Linked DNA regions of Nothobranchius furzeri. The protein of the gene in region 1 purifies or fractionates together with the protein of each later gene. This does not show direct contact. Links are inferred from orthologs where the notes say so. Each region holds a gene or a part of one and is shown on either strand. Other genes may lie near its edges.

Region 1 (4,954 bases):
TTTCTCTGGACTCTCGTTATTCTCGCTGTCACTTTGTTCTGACTTCTTCATTTCTTCATCAGAAGAGTCATCCTCGCTCGTGGTCGGCTGTTTTGCGTTCCCATCTGTTCCGACTCGTTTCCCTGCACCCGTAGCGTGAGATTTTGCTTGTTTTGGACTTCCTGTTTTGCATTTCTCTTCAACCTCTGAATCTGAAAAATCAACATTAACATCACAGCACCATGAAACCGACACATTAAATACATATTTGCGTTACAACCTACCTGATGAGGAGCTTGAAACACGACGAGATTTTTTTGCTCGGGGGTCTTTTTCTTCTTCACTTTCCACCTCTTTTTGCTTGGTTTCTCTCTTCCGTTTGTTTTGGGGCCCCTTGATCTCAGAGTCACTTTCATTTTCAGCATTTTCCTTAAAGAAACAATATAAACAGAAATCATTTAAAAACTATGCTTTTAATATACCTTGTATTTTTTATTTCAGCCTCTAATGATCACAAAAACATTATAATACGACATCCTGCTTTACGAGCACGCTCTTACTTTGGAAAGATGCTCACTAGAACTACCGTGTTGCGTACTGTAAACATACTGATGTCACATGAATAATAGAGTACACCTCCATTGTTTCTATTGATGACCCCTGTCATGCTGTGGTGCAACATCCTGTAATGCTTCTCTGTACCGTTCCACTTCCAAGCGCTGATGATTCTGAGAAAGGAAGTGGTGGGCAGCTGGTGCCTAATTCCAGTAGTCACTAGGTGAGGTGGGGGGACACACTGGACAAGTCTCCAGTCCACCACAGAGAGACAGAGACAAACATCCAGTCACTCAGATCAATTTAGAGTCTCCAATAAACATAATCTGGATGTTTTTGGTCTGTGGGAGGAAACCAGGGTACCCAGAGTGGATCCACGCATGCATGGGGTGAACAAGCCAACTCCGCACAGAGAGATTGAAGCCAGGAATCAAACCTGCAACCTTCCAACTGTGAGGCAACAGTAACAGAAATTTTAATAAAACTAAATGTAATTGCCATTCCATCGGATGTGCAGGCATTGCATGACATCCGTGAAGCCGGTGGTGAAGCATCGCGATTTGGATGCGAGCCAGAAGCCCCGCTAAGGCTTTGGGTCCATTTTTTTTATCTCAATGCTTCGAGAATGCGTCAAGCTCAGCAGCGGAGATCAGGTCAGACAGGAGATAGATCAAAATAAGAGTTGTGCAGATTTCCACTCACTTAACTAATAAAAAAAGTGCGTCATTGCCCATGAAACCACAGATCTTTTTGTACACATGCTGCTGTTCTTCTTGTTTGTTATGATGTTAAATGCTGAAATCTCGTGTGATCCATCTCTGGTGCTTCCAAGGCATCGCAGGGCCAGCTTCGTGGAATGCCTTCACTGATGTTTTGCGTCTGTAACATTGCTGGAGGCAAGGATGCTCACGCGTAAAATGCGTTTACAATCTTATGCACCATTTATGCATCCAGTGGAAAGCTGGAGTACACATGTCAAAGTCACTGAATCCAATGCAAGTTGTACAGAGCAGCCTTTTTCTTCTTCATCTAAAGGCAGCTAATCAGAATCAGCTGCAGGGTCAAACCCAGAAACTCCCAAGCAGAGGACCGGCATTCTGCAGACTCTATAGTTTGTGACAACATCGAGTATTTTTGTGACCGACGTTGACGTTTATGGATGGTCCCTGGACACTAGTCTCAGCAGTTTCTGCACATTGAAGCTTGTGTGACTTGTTCTGCATACAGGACGGTGCATTTAGATCAAAACAAACACGTGTGACATGGATGAGCTCATCAGTGTTTGAGAAATGGTTGGACTTATAACCACATTAAAAATAACTGTCAACAGAAGAAATGACAAACATGTAGAATGATCCTAAGTTTCAGTTACCTGCATGTTCAGAAGTTCTTCCTCCACCACTTGTTTCATGAACTTCTTCGCCTCTGGACTTAATGGCTCACATTTCACAAGAGCCAGGTACCTCTTCTTCAGTATGCCTAATGTGAGCGTGCTGAGAGAAAACAGCAGAATGAACACATTGAGCAGCTTTTAGAGCAAAGAAAGGTGCTCACACATTTTTTCATGCCTTTAAAATGACAGAAAAATAAAAAGCATCTCAATAATTCTACTAACCTTTAAGAGGACAACTTAATTTTGAAGCGGATTAAATTATGCATATGTCGTTTTTAACATGCCCAATAAAAGGATGTTTTGATAATACTAATTTTCAAAAATCACACATTTCTTTTCCAGCTCATAGAATTAAACAAACAAAACATTCTGTACATGAAACTGGATCTGCTGGGGACAAAACGACCAGACTAGACCACTCTTTGCATAGATTGTTGTGGTTTTCAGCCCATTAAGTAAAACAATCTTCTTAAAACATCTTATTTAGTTTCTGATAAACAAAAACATTTGCTATAACTACCACAAGCAACCAGGAGGGGGCGCTACATATTGTTTATAAGCTTAAAGACATTCCAATAAATCAATATTTAATCGATTTTTTCAGCTCAATGTCCGATTATTTGTGACACCAAAGTAAAGTAAAACTAAAAATTGGAACTTCTGGTCTTTGATTGCGTATAATTATAATTATTGTTAAAATATACGGTTGGATTACGTCTCCGTCTCTGATGTTAGTTACACGCCATGTCGAATAAACAACCCCAAAAGTCTTTCAGCTACAGTTAACGCCCAGATGTGCAAACAGACCTTAAAATAGACAAATTAATGTAAAAATACACAAGCAGACAAAGCCAAGAAGTCGTTTTCACCTAGAAGAAACGCTAAATGATAGCACGTGGTTTTAAATGTACCTTAGATCTGATTCATGGCGCAGTTGATCCACCACAAACCTGCGGAGAAAATTCCTCTCTTTTTCTGGCACCATCTTCTAGAATTTATCGCTTGATTTCAGGTGGCGGGAATCGTAAACAAACCAGGAAATGACGTTGAACAACCACGCCCCTAACGTTTTAGGGAAGTCACTTCCGTACTATGGGTCCCAAGAACGAAAGTCAACGGGGCTAAAAGAGCTATTTTCTACTTCGCTTTGCCTTACGCCCTGGATCACACATATGTTGTACTGCAATTTAAAAGAAAACTAATGATGGGTGTTTCGACCACGCCAGTCACGTACTTTGATATTTATCAGCTTGTAAGCGTTCGAAATTAGCATGACTACAACTTAGAAATCGGCATGTCGCATATATGACGTCACTACATAAATCTCTTCTCCCCTAGCGTAGCTGCTACTTACCAAATGGCCAGATTTATGGTGGGGGCTTCTTTCTGAAGGAAGGATTTTAAATTCGCTAAACTTACAGCCATTTACCCTTTGTTTTTCTCGTGTGCGGTTCGATGACGTCATTTTCGTAACGCGCGTTTGTAGTTCTGGACTTATTTTCACACAAAACCTAAAATAAAAGAGTTCTTGGTATTAAAATGCGTGTTTAAAATTCATGGACATCATATGTGAAATCCTTGGCACATAAGCAGAATTAGAAAAAAGCGTTTTAGCCTTAGACTTGAAATCATTTTTTCATTCTGCAGTGACCCATGGTCTGGAAGCAGATGGGTGTGACTTAGGCTCCCTATATTCTTAGAAATATACAAAGCAAATATTCTTCAAAGGATAAATTAATATCAAGTGTTTTTTCTGTTATTTTGAACCATTATACTTGGGTTCCATTCGTTTCATTAAACCTGGTCACCCAAAGGCAAAAAAATTAAAATTCTTGCATTTAGCATTTGAATTATCTATCTATAACCAGAGCCCACATAAATCCATTCTATCATTCATGTCTAAAAATTAAATATTTAAATTCCCACTATGGCTCATCATCAGAAACAAATGACATTTCTGAACAATGTTTTATTTAGTCACTGTGGAGCATTCTGAGACATAAAAACAAAATAATTAAATGGTAAATGGCCTGTATTTGATATAACACCTTCTAGTCCTGGAACCCCCCAAGGCACTTTACAACACAATCAGCCATTCACCCATTCACACACCATTGGGGATGAGCTACAATGTAGCCACAGGTGCCCTGGGGCGCACTGACAGAGGCGAGGCTGCCGAGCACAGGCGCCACCCGTCCCTCTGACCACCACCAGCAGGCAAGGTGGGTTAAGTGTCTTGCCCAAGGACACAATGACAGCGACAGACTGAGCGGGGCTCGAACCTGCAACCTTCTGATTACGGGACGAGCACTTAACTCCTGTGCCACCATCGCCCACAATAAAATAAATAAAAGAGGCCAAAGCTCATTTTCATAAGCGATTTATTTAGAACATTTCCAAGAACAAAGGATGGAAGTATTATTAGTGCATTTTTCAAGGAGTTCCACATTTATGGGTCTGACAAACACTCATCTCCCATTCAAACTTTCTTCTCCCCCCTCTTCGGAGTGCTTAAGATTGCACCAGTCACTACAGAATATTCAAAAGAAAATAACTCTTCCTCTCCCTGAGGCAAATAAAACTCTTGTCTGCCTTTTTTGGTGACTGCATAGCCAATCTGTGTGTGATCTGGTTTAAGACAACGTGAAAGTAAAGGATTATGGCTCAGATCAAACGAACTGGTCACAGTTTGTCAAACATTGAACTGAAGTTTCTGATTTCCTAAAATACAATTTGAGTGCAGAATTACACCTAAGCAATAAGTAACACAAACACTGGATTTGTTACAAAAGTTAAATACCAAACAATAAATTAGGTTAATAAATTAATTAAAAAACAGCAAGATGCAACACGTGTAATAATTTAAACAAGAAAACTGAGCTGCTCATTCGCCCTCGATATTTTTCGTTCATTTCCAGTGTTAACATGTCAAGGCTCCACGTCAACAGCGTGTCAGTCGCTGTTCAGCAGAGAACGTGAACATCAGACCATTAACACTCTGGGAAAACCGACAGATTAAACACCAAG
Region 2 (4,231 bases), on another chromosome or scaffold:
ACACTTGCAGTGGACTGCAGTAGACGCTCGGGGGGGTTAGATGTGTTTTTCAGGAACTAGCAGAAAGCCACCTCATGGCAGGATTTGGAGTCTCATTTCCTGACATTCTGACATCTCTCATCTGATTGGCTAACAGAAAAAGACCCAACCACTGACTGATTGCTTTGCAACATTGATGCTTTATCTCCACAAATACCTCCAGCTTGAGGGAGTTCTTCTGTGCGGTGGAGTTGCTAATGCTAACAGTTAGTTTCTACTAGTTGATACATTCTCTGCTGTTTCCTAGATGCTAAACCAACAGCAGCCTTCCCCATCGTGAGTCAAGATGGGTGAGTCCATGAATGTTAAGTGACAGTGCGACGTAGATCTGTCAGGCTTTTCCAATCCTAGAGTTTTACTGTCTATTTTCTATCAGAAGAAGCTAATGCAGCAGATAGGTGTAGGAGACTATTTTCATTTTCAACCTACATTTGAACCTCAGAGTGACCGATTATAATCAGAAATAATTAAAATATGATTTGAGTGATCCACAACTTTAAGGACAGGTTGAGTTAACCCAGTTTCTGTTGGATTACTTGCTGTGATGTTAGTTTTAAGACACAAAGCAGGGGGCGCCACTGAGCCACATTACAGTGCAGTACCTTGTGAGTGTTGTTCTACTGCCACCGACAGAGATCATTCACAAAATATCAACAAAAACGTGTTTAATTCATCCACTCATGTGGAGGAAAGAAATGTTCTTCTGGGATTAAAAGCATCTTTTTTTATATTTGTCTGACACAAATAATGAGTCAACATTATAACTTAAATTTTATGTTATTTAGTCAGAGAGTAAAACTCATCTTTATTAATATGTATCTGTCCTCCTTTACACATCATTTGTTCACCTCTTACCTGATCATAGTTGTCTTGGCCGTGGAAAAATGGCTCCTTGAGGAAAATCATGCTGGCCAACATGCAGCCTAAACTCCACATGTCCAAACTATAATCATACATCTAAAACAGAAAAACACAGTTGAACCCTAACATGACATCAGAGTTCACACCGCCTGACTCAGAGTTGTGCTTTTGTCTGAATAAATCTACCTGATAGTCCACGAGCAGCTCGGGGCCTTTGAAATAACGAGAGGCCACCCTGACGTTGTATTCCTGAGCGGGATGGTAAAATTCAGCCAAACCCCAATCTATGAGCCGGAGCTGTGGCAGAACACACACACGTTACTGGGTTCCTCTCATGTTTCCCTCGAGTAAAATCTACAACATCACAAGTTATTAGTGTCATTTTATATCCCATCAAAAACCGGGTGTGTTTGACTTAAACATGAACTATTGATGCAACAGGGCATCAGTGACTCATGTAAAAGTTTGTCAGTGCCAGATTCATTAATGGACACACAGATGCACATGATTGTTTCTGAGGTGTTGTTTTTGGAGTAAATAAACAACTGAGCAGCACCTTCCTCAGCTGGTGGTCGATCATCACGTTGTGGGGCTTCACGTCTCTGTGCATGATGCCCATGCTGTGACAGTAGTCCAGAGCCTTAAACAAAAACAGAGATTTCAACTGTTGAGCAGAGCGAGTTTCTCCTTCCAAAAGGCAGATTATCAGGTTTATAATCTGGCCTGTTTAGCACTGAGAATGGACTTTACTGTTTATGTCACACAGACTATTTATGTTTGGCTAATTTATTCAGAGTCAATCTTCAGTATTTGTCTCTTTAAGTATTAATGTTTTAAAAACAGGAATGGATGATTATGTTATGAAAATGTTCTTCCTTTTCTTTACAGGTAACACTTCTACAAAGAAGGTACATTGTTCTCTGACTGTGTGGCTGTCTCATCACGCCAACATGGGACTGGTTGGCCATCTTAAACATTCTTTTTTCTAGGGTTTTGATTTTTTTATTTGCTGAATATAGATTGCTGGTGGATGGCGTTCCTCTCAAACGTCCTGTTAACAGCTCAAGTCACCAAGGCTTTACAAGCAGTTTGTGAAAATCCTTTTCATTACATTCCAGGGTTGTGTTGGCAGAAATATTTCTGCTGAGCCCACTCAGGAAGTCATATACAACAAATAAAAGTCAGAACTTTTACATACAACACATTTCAAACTGGCCAAAATACTTCTTCAAGGTTTTCTTGATGTCCGAGTTTCTCAGAAATAAGCTGGTGTGGGTGCTTTCACTTTTCTTCCAGGTAACCACTCGTGTAGAAATTGTGACCCCAATAACCAGAAAAATGGGACAGCGGCATTTTCTCTGTGTACATCCACCCTGAGATGATCAGCCTGAAATACAGCTCTACCGGTAAATTTAGCCACGGAGAAACAAAATAAAAAATGAGCTGTGTGTTCAGTAGCAAAGCACACGCTCAACCCTCTAAGAAGTCCTACTTCCAGTTCCTCTTGTTTCACCTAAATAGACCTGGAAACAGGTTTTTGCACAAGCACATATTCATCACATCCACTAGACTCACCAACAACACCTGTGTTTTACAGCCAAAAAACTGAGATTTAACAAACATCTTTCTCTAAAACAGCACCAAAGCTTCTCTGTTTAACGACAAATAACATTAAAGACTCAGCAAACTGTAAAGCCTAATTTCTACCTCTCCGTCAGCTCCGTGAGGGAGAGACGCACACGCACTGACAAACGTTTTGGTCACAGACTTCTCCGTCAGCTGGGGATTGTTGCAAAACAATTCCCCGCCAGGACAACAGAGGGCGTAGCACTATTCTGAGGTATCCTGCCACCATTACAGTCTCGAATCTGGTCCATGATTGTGTATTTACTTTTGTTAACATTGATTTAAAGGGGACAATGAATGCAGTTGATCAGCAATCTAAAACACTGCTTTGAATCGAAGAAGCATAAGAAATTTTCTTTTGGCTTTCATCTGTCCCAGGAGCCCTGATACAGGCCATTCTAAAGCTTGGTTTATGCTTGACACATTCACTTTCCGCGCGGTGATGCGGCTCGCGGATGGAACGTGCTTCACAACTCGCAGTGTTTATGGTTCATGCGGCTCGTCTCTGCGGTGAGCCAATATTCTCCCAAACTGTAGGGGGCAGCATGGAGCTCTACGGCATGCATCCAGCACTACACCATAGTAGAAGTAAAAATGACTGTTTACAACATGGCATTCCAGCTTTTAACAGCGTCCTCGTCTTTTCCGACAGTGCGAGCTATTTCTCTCCAAGAATTATTAACAACATGCTGATCACGGTGATCTTTGAGAGCTGAATCATACAAATGTCTGTATTTATGAACCTCTGCCATACTAGTTCTTGCCAGTCCGCCATGTTTTTCCGCATCCGACCGTCCGCGTGGTTAGAAAATTTCCTAGGTGCGCGGTGCGGAAAATTTGGGCCGTGCGGAGGCGCGGTGGAGGGGCGTGGTTGTTAAAATGACGCAATTTTGCCGCGCGGAGCCGTGCGAACCTCGCAGACAAGCATAATCCAAGCTAAACCCCTCTAAATCAACCTTATTGTGACAAGAGCTGTTCACCCCTCCCACTTGGCCAGGACATGAATATGCTAATGAGCTGCTTGCTAATTGGTTGGTTTAAACCAGAAGGCCCCAGACACAGGAAACTGAAGATTGGAGGAGGAAGGGCTTTACATTAAGACGTTTTTATGAGGTTTCTCAGAAAATAAGTTTCTCTGGCATTTTAAAACTTTCTAATTTACTTAAAAAGTAGGTCACACACGGCTTTGACTTTTTGGCATGGTACCTTTGACCCCCTGAGCCTTATTGTTGCTTATTATTAAAATGGGAGGATCAGCTGAAACGGGATCTTCGTAGGGCACGAATTACAGAGGCTTCCGGGGGAGTCCAATGAGAGGGGGGTTTATTTTGCCTTGGCCCCCAAAATGCCTTGATACGGCCCTGGGAGTGGGACTGCGTTTTGAAAGTGATCTGAATTGTATAAAATATATAAATATTACATGCTTATAAATGATTGCTTTATAAAAGTAAACTTGTTTTTTTAATTGTTTTTTATTTGAATATTTTCCTGTCCTGTCCGTCTCATCTTCCTGCATCTCCTCTCAATCCTGCAGAAAAACTGTTTCCTGGCTTTCTACTTTTTCACCTCAGGGATTACTTTTGAACTAAGCACATCAAAGGCATCTACTGACCGCAAAACAGCGGAGTGCACGCAAGGCTGCACCAGTGAGGTGAAGTCACTGGACTAAGGGGTGATGAGTTCTGACAATTCCTGACTAAAAGTA

What was found.
Region 2: the proteins of hirip3 (region 1) and casein kinase II subunit alpha' purify together in Homo sapiens (affinity purification with mass spectrometry; 6 studies listed by BioGRID and IntAct, counting the BioPlex papers as one, with this or other methods). This does not show direct contact. The link is inferred for Nothobranchius furzeri from reciprocal best matches to the Homo sapiens genes HIRIP3 and CSNK2A2.

The regions. Positions count from the first base shown.
Region 1 is NC_091752.1:51,441,646-51,446,599, forward strand, and holds the start of hirip3 (HIRA-interacting protein 3), read right to left. Parts: upstream 2,999-4,954; 5' UTR 2,913-2,998; coding exon 2,839-2,912; intron 2,028-2,838; coding exon 1,907-2,027; intron 409-1,906; coding exon 264-408; intron 192-263; coding exon 1-191. UniProt on the Homo sapiens protein: Histone chaperone that carries a H2A-H2B histone complex and facilitates its deposition onto chromatin.
Region 2 is NC_091749.1:31,566,682-31,570,912, forward strand, and holds part of casein kinase II subunit alpha', read right to left. Parts: intron 1,541-4,231; coding exon 1,457-1,540; intron 1,198-1,456; coding exon 1,087-1,197; intron 997-1,086; coding exon 895-996; intron 1-894.